2 linked regions of the Kluyveromyces lactis genome follow. The protein of the gene in region 1 purifies or fractionates together with the protein of each later gene. This does not show direct contact. Links are inferred from orthologs where the notes say so. Each region holds a gene or a part of one and is shown on either strand. Other genes may lie near its edges.

The links.
Region 2: the proteins of TOF1 (region 1) and MCM6 purify together in Saccharomyces cerevisiae (affinity purification with mass spectrometry; 3 studies listed by BioGRID, with this or other methods). This does not show direct contact. The link is inferred for Kluyveromyces lactis from reciprocal best matches to the Saccharomyces cerevisiae genes TOF1 and MCM6.

The regions. Positions count from the first base shown.
Region 1 is NC_006039.1:188,011-191,901, reverse strand, and holds the start of TOF1 (Tof1p), read right to left. Parts: upstream 2,820-3,891; coding exon 1-2,819. UniProt on the Saccharomyces cerevisiae protein: Forms a fork protection complex (FPC) with CSM3 and which is required for chromosome segregation during meiosis and DNA damage repair. FPC coordinates leading and lagging strand synthesis and moves with the replication fork.
Region 2 is NC_006042.1:935,770-939,702, forward strand, and holds the start of MCM6 (MCM DNA helicase complex subunit MCM6), read right to left. Parts: upstream 2,861-3,933; coding exon 1-2,860. Other genes in the region: KLLA0_F10109g (C2H2-type zinc finger protein), read right to left, coding at 3,426-3,933. UniProt on the Saccharomyces cerevisiae protein: Acts as a component of the MCM2-7 complex (MCM complex) which is the putative replicative helicase essential for 'once per cell cycle' DNA replication initiation and elongation in eukaryotic cells.

The sequences.
Region 1 (3,891 bases):
GCTGGTTTTCCAATTTCAGATTCAAATGGAAGAGACCTGTGCTTTTGTATAGTTTCAATTACCAACTGGACCTCAGTAGGAGTTTTATTATTAATGAAATAGCAAGCAGGTTGATTAGCTTCCGGAATTGCAAAACCAGCAAGGATTAAAAGCCTTCTGAATTCGGGCTGTTGGTATAAGGCCCTCTTTATCTCAGAATTAGTAGCATTGAATGCAACTTTTTTTACTCTTTCCTCTTCTAGTGAATTGATGCCTTCTGCTACCTTACCCTTCAATCCATCGAAACTTGACTGTAAATTAAGCAACAAAGCTTCAATCAAATCTTCATATCCATCATCGATAAGACTAGAAACCAAGATTCCAACTTGCATATCTAACAAAACTTTTTTAGGAAGAGAGCCTTCATCTGGAATATTGATAAATGTGCTGGGCAATACTATGTCAGGAGTACCTTCAGTCAACTTCATCTTTCCATGTCTCATATAGTATGATATTTGGGAGTCATGGAGCATTGGGAACAATATATTGATGTACAAAGAAGGCATTTTCTTCAGTTTATTTTTGAGCTGCTTAAGGTAGTACTCATTGAATTTTGTGAAATGAGTTCTTAGCTCAGAAGTTGTAGGCAGACCTTGTTGACTTAGAATTTCTCGACATAATATCATGAAGTCAATTCGAAATAGAAATAATTCTTCCTTCGCTTTGACAAACACTCTCTGAAAGAATTTTAGAACCCTTATGAGGTCTTTGTCCTCCAGTTCTTTGTAAGACTGTAGATATCTGATGTAAGTTGATATCGTTGGTTCTGTCAGATATCCGCGAAAAACCTTATCAAAGTTTATGGTCACTTGTTTAAATTGTTCTTCTAATATATCAAAGGCTGATTCATAGTCTAAATCATTATCTTTTGCATACTTTTCAATTGCTGTGTGATTAAGGTTCACCTTACGCTTCCTTTTTGACTCCACAGTCAACGAGCTGTTCTCATCAAATTTATCAATTGTTTTCAAAACCACATGTGTTAAATTAATGCAAGCTTTAACATATTGTGAAGAATGACTGGTTGCAGATTTTGGGAGAGATGCCAATAGCTGCAACATATTTTCGCTCAAAATCTTACTTATCACAGCTTGAACATCTGCCTCCCATGATTGGTCGAGAGATAATAAAAACTCCAAGTATTCCGTGAACAATAGCATACCCGCATGGACCACTGGCCAATTCTTTTGTTCATAACTCTCTCTCAAATATTTTGTAAAGAGAATGTAACACTCATCTAACAATGCGCCTGAGACATAATCCGGTGTAGCATCAATTTCATAAATGCACCGTGATCTCTGGAATTTCACAAACCACGAAATGAATAACATGTATTCAATCTTATGCAATGGTAATTGATCTTGAATTTCACTCGTAAAACTATCTGTGGCATTTTGCAATAACAAATTGAAACTGGAATCAACAAAATCTGCCAAAAACTCTTTTATGCTAGTAATGTTGTCAGAAGACATGTAAATAGAATTACCTTCAGTACTAAAAAAGCTGCTACTGAGTCCTTCAATAACATCGAGTCTCATAGTGATGGTTTTATTCCATTTTTTTCTTGAGTCTAACTCTTGTAATGCCGCATCATCACGCATGTTGACAGAATTACTAGCAATTGTCAATCGCGTATTTTGAGGTGTCTGTATAGACAATAAACCGCCAAATCTAGAATGACGAGAAGAAGTATTCTTTATTACATTAAGCTTCTTTTCATGTTCCTTTGCAAGTAATTCTGAAAGGTGTTTACCTGACGTTGTCATGTTGGAGTCTGTAATCTCGTGATCCGTACCCAATTTATAAGATTTTCTCTGGTTTTTGAACAATCGGATGGGGTTAATATCTTTTGTTAAGAAGAACATGACCTCTAACAACGGCCAACTAACGAAATTTGGGTCAACAGCGTCTGACAAAGAACTAGCCACTGTTAGAAGAAAGCCAAAAACTTTATTTTTATCAAATGCGGTTATGACACTATTTATGGAAATATCATCAACGGTAATATTCGTTGGTAACATTTCAGCCATAGTCAAAGGTCTCTTCAATCTTTTGACACTGGATATTGTAACTTCACCTGGTTCTATTGCCACCACATTTTTTAGAAAATTAAGAACCATTCGTATCAGAGAGTCATCCCTAGCAGTCCTATGATCTACATCCACACTCATGACGTTCAGGGCTAATCTAATTGCTGCCTTGAGAACCTTTCCGTTTTCTGTTGTCAAAATTGCATGCTTATACAGCAATTGATGCTTTTTCAGCTCAAAGTAATAATTCACTTGGTTATACGATGACTGATCTGTTATGATTAAGGGCCATGTCATCAACACCATAAGTTGCAACGCTCCTAGAGCGATTCTATCATGATATGATTTATTCGGGAAGAAAATCGAGATATCTTCACCTGTTTTTTTACTTTTCCTAGTAGCAGCACTATTTTTTGCCTCCCAATCCAATAGAATAGGTATTAGATCATTCTGCAGGATCTTGAATTCAGCTGTGGCCATTTCTACATCCCATCTCTTCTGGTTATCATCAACTAACTTGAACCAACGAATCAAATCCTTAATACAAGCCAAGCAATCATCACCTACCTTATAAGGTGGATTAACGGAGTCCACAGAGTGATCTGGTCCTCCAATTGCCGTGGCTAACATACCAATTCTTGCCTTAATGATTGTGTATGAAATATCCTGGTATTCATTCTGAATATGTATGTTTTGCCTATCTTCTGCCAGTCTCTCCTTCACAGTATCAACGTCATCGGGTTCTGACATAGTTACCTTCTGTCAAAGCTACGAACCCAAAGAAGTTTTCTAATAGTTTTCTCAACTAATACTAGTTATGTTCGTTGTCAAATTGGTCAAATTGGAAAGAATTTGCCCTCTTGATTAAGGTAGCCCTTCGAATATTCATCCTTTTGTTCAAACGCGTAAAACTGTTGAAAGCTGTTTTATGATCAAAATCTCATTCGATTGGAATTGATTCCTATGAAAAGTAAGACAAAACCAGATCACGTGATTTTGAAAATTGTAATTCTTCGCCCCCCCTATCAATACACGGTACAAGCACTGTTTTATTGCCTCACTATCAGCAATTGATAAGTTTCAATTTTAAATATTAGTTCCGTAACATTTTAGTTAGATTACTGTTCTCCCAACGACGAAACAGAGACGAAAGTCCAAATATCATGCGGGAAAGTAACTCACTGTTCTTGCTTTCAAGCTGAGCTTTCATACCAAACTAAAGGAATAGTAGCAGTCACCATATAATTTCAAGTAGATTGATACCAAACACAAGCCATATATTAAAATATTTGATCAAATTGTATTATACCTGCTCCTATGGCTACTTTGTTCTCCTTTGTGTCAATCTAGAAATAATCTTGCATATTTTTTTTTCGATCTTCATGACCGTATTAGGAACGGTCGTAAATAAAGCGTACAAAAAGCAAAAAATAAGGGTTCTGATTGCACTCGGCTTATGTGACGACATTCTCCGTTAATGAAGAGCAGACATAAGTGGAAAAGCTTTTGAAATTCCTCAAAAAAGACAAAAACACTGCAATAGTGTGTTAAAGATGGTTGGTCCGGTTTGCGATGTCTCATTTGTCAATGAAGATCAATAAGCATTAATCTGTGGTTTTTCCATTTTTTTAACTCATCGATCTGAAATTTGATTTTGAGGTTTTAACTTTCAAATGTAGAGAACATGAATGAGGGAGGTGAATATGTCTACTGAGTGCTGGGGGATTATACATACCGGGTATGTGATCTTGTGTCGTGGTATAGGATCATTGCGGGGAGATACATTGTTCCAATTTCTGAGGCAAAAAATATATTTGAAATA
Region 2 (3,933 bases), on another chromosome or scaffold:
TGATGACTTTGAATGCCAATTTCCTTTCTTGCCAATATTCTGCTTCGGTGTTGATGTCGTTTTCTTTCTGTTGTAAATACCAATCTACTATCTCAGTTTTTGTCATTTCAGGTTCTTCATTCTTTTCTCTGTCAACCACTTTCCGTACAATTAGATTCATCATTTCCACGTATTTATCATATGATATTGCGACTTTATGTGTTGTGTGATGAGCGTTGTCATGAGACTCTACGTCAGGACCACCCCCCGTTTCGGAGTCGGCGTTCAGTGGTTGAGAAGGTGACTGAGATTGTGTATCAAGTGTTTCGCCGAAGTGTTGTGTGGCAGGTATTGTGCCCTCACCCTCCGTACTTTCTTCTGGGGAGTTATCGTCATCTTCAATTTCAACGTCATCAACATCAACACGGATGATACTCTGTCTCAACAAATCGTACGCCTCAGCGACAAAGCTCGGAACAATTTCATCCACGCAATTAGCACGAGCAATAGCTTCACTTAATCTGATTAATGATTCCAGTTGTCTGACAGTTATACGGTACGAAGATTTACTGTACCCCTGCGCATCGTCTTTCCTTAGTTCTGTATATCTTTTGACTAGGTAGTCACGAGCTTCTTTAGTCATTACCGGCTTGAAAGTCTTGGCATAGTTGATATAACGACTCAATTGTTCTGCTGAGAATGGTGGATTAATAGCAGAGTCCCTCTTCATGTGCAAGTCTACGATGTGGGAAGCTAGCTCAGTATCGATCTTCTCATTGCAATCATCAAGAATGACAAAGAATAAATCGAATCTGGACATAATTGGTGCAGACATGTTCAAATTAGATCTTAAAGTCAGTTTCCTATTGTACCTACCGCCGACGGGATTAGCGGCAGCCAAAATTGAAGTTCTGGCATTTAATGTTGCATGAATACCAGCTTTGGCAATCGAAATGGTTTGCTGTTCCATGGCTTCATGAATAGCAACTTGATCTGCGATATCCATCTTGTCAAATTCGTCGATACAACAAACACCATTATCTGCCAACATTAACGCACCAGCTTCAATAGTGAAATCACCACCTTCTTCATCTTTCACCACAGCTGCAGTCAAACCAGCCGCTGAAGATGCTTTACCGGAAGTATAAACGGCTCTTGGAGAGAAGTTACAGACGTATTTTAGGAATTGAGATTTTGAGGTGGACGGATCACCAACGATACAAATATTAATGTCACCTCTCAATTTAATGCCTTCTACAGTAGTTTTATGAACACCGCTAAGCATTTGTAAAAGGATACCTTTCTTAATGGTTTCATGCCCGAAAACTGCTGGTGCAATCGATTTCACCAGTTTGTCATAAATATTCTCATCTTTCACCATCTCTTTTAATTCATTAATTTCGTCAGAATCAAGCCTTGTTAGGAAAATTTCTTGATCAGTTTCTGCCGCCATTTCATAGTTTTGATAGTTTCTCAAGTTAATATAATCAAATTTGGATGTCTTATCGGCGTCCTCCTCATTAATCCTACTACCATTGAAACTGGTACCAACATTTTCAACATGGCATGCCAAAAACGATATTTTGTAAGTTAAATCTCTAACACCTAATGATTTGAGCCCAGAAATACCTGAGTTCAATCCTTCCGTTGTCCGTGAGATACCTCTAGAATCTGGAGTCGAACTTGCTTTAACACCAGGCAAACCAAGTTGACTAACGTCTGGAACGACAATTTCAGTACCAATAAATTTACATCTATCACCTGGTTTAGCTCTTTCGACACAGTCACCACGAAGAATAATATCTAAGGTTCTTGGCATAGAACCGGATGGAATTTCATTGGAATTTTCTTGAATTCTTACCTTTTGCCAATCCAAGAATTTGGACCTGTTCACGTTTAATGACCAGAAAGATTGGTTCTCACATGTTGGATTTGGACAAGAGGTTGGTTCAGTGTACTTGAAAACTTGTTCCACATTGTCAATAACAGCTCGACACAATTCGCATGTAAAACTGGCTTTGTATAATTCTGGTCTAATTTCCGAAGTTCTCGTGACTGTGCCTGAAATAGCCATTAAAGAACCAATCTTATTAGCCCTAATATCTCTGATTCTATGGACAGTTGGGAGATTCAGGAAACTGATTTGCAAAACACGTTCAACCTGATCTGGATTAGTGGCAATGGTAGATGGGGCAGTGCCTCCTGCGGTGGCAGCCTGCGAAGTTGGCAAAGATGAATCTATTCTTTGCGAAGAGCGGTCCTGAGAATTCTCTTGAGATTGAGAAGGAAGTACAGAGTCAGATGTTAATAATAATCCAGGAGCGTACTTCTTCACCACATTTCTTAGCCCAGATAAAAGGAATGGCAAAAATCTGTAATACTGTTGTAAAATAGCAACCGCTAAAGCTCCGTCTTCCACCTCGGCCAAATGTTTATAGTCAACGTATATGGTATTCAATTCGTACCATCTCATATATTCAATTTGGACTCTATAAACCTTCTCCATCTCACCTGTTTCATCATTGAGGGCGGTGAAATTTGACAAGAAATGTTCGAATGCCTCTCTTACAGTTTCACCAGTTTTATCATCAACCTTTTTGATGGCATTCAAGTTTTTCTGCCTGATCCCGGCTAATGGAGTAATTTCTTGTGAATCATTTTCCATAGCCTCTATTTGTGATTCTGAATTAATGCCTTGCCTAGTGTCATCAGTACCGAAATGTCTATTTCCATCTGACACTCCTCTGGAAGAAGATGGAAACTGGGGAGTTCTGTTTCCTAACGACTGATCATCGAATTGTGAACTATCATAAGCACCTACACTAGAGGGAGGCTGGGATGATTGCTGACCATGTTGAAAAGGACTTGATGGTGCCGACATTGTTGCTGATTTTTTCAGCTTGCTCCAACTATGTCCGGTTTTGGATGAGCCGTTCAACCTGGATGCCCTTCACATTGAAGATCATGTTTTAAGTGTTTCAACATGTAAAATCATTTTTTTAATTTCTGAGTTAAGGCGATTCAATATTACTTTTCCTAAAGAGGTATTGCAAGTATCCAAAATTAGTTAACTGAGGTATAACACGAGGAAAACCATTGACTATCGACCATAACATATCGATAACCAATGCAGCAAAGTTCAATTTAATGGAATTTTTTCTTTTTGATTCGATAGGGAGAAGATAAAACATCGGTGAATTGATAATAAAAATTAATGATACGTAGGTAAGAATTCATCTTATTTAAGCGATATAAGTATATGGACGCGAGGATTTTAGAAAGCTGGCCAGGGATAAAATAGCCCCCCTGACAGTCAGTTGCATTAATGGTGAAGTGAAAATGAATCTAAAATCGAAAGAAAAGAAAAAAATGTAACCAGATAAAATAAACCGAAAATGTTAATGTGGACATAGGTCCACTGAAAAGCCGAATGGAAAAAGATTCAATCATTCTTGGTAATTGTAAGTATAATTGAAAAAGTTCATGAATTGCTGAGTTTCTCTGAAGTGCCTCTCACCCAGAGCGTACTCATTCATTTGTCTTTGTAAAGTAGTATTAATCTTAGGTTCATTCGAGTTATTCGTGAATTTCACTTCTTCTTCCATAGACATGCCTGCTTGCTCGATGTCGAGGGGGAGTACTTCCCAATCAGGATTTATTTGTGACTTTTGATCGGTAGATATGAAGTTCATTTCTTTATGGAGAACAGTATGTTCATGGGAGGATTGGGATGAGATAGACCGTACGGTGTCCAAAGCTGCATCTTCAACTGGTGATTTGTTCAATGAGGAGAATTCATCGAATGGTTGTGTACATTTGCGTAAATGAGTAGCTGTATTTTGAGATCCCGAATGAGGTATTAGTTGTGGTTGTCCTGTGAAGGGGACAGAGTTCGAGGGAGCGAGAGATGGGACACCGTTGCCATACACTTGGTTTTCGAAATGACCGTAATTC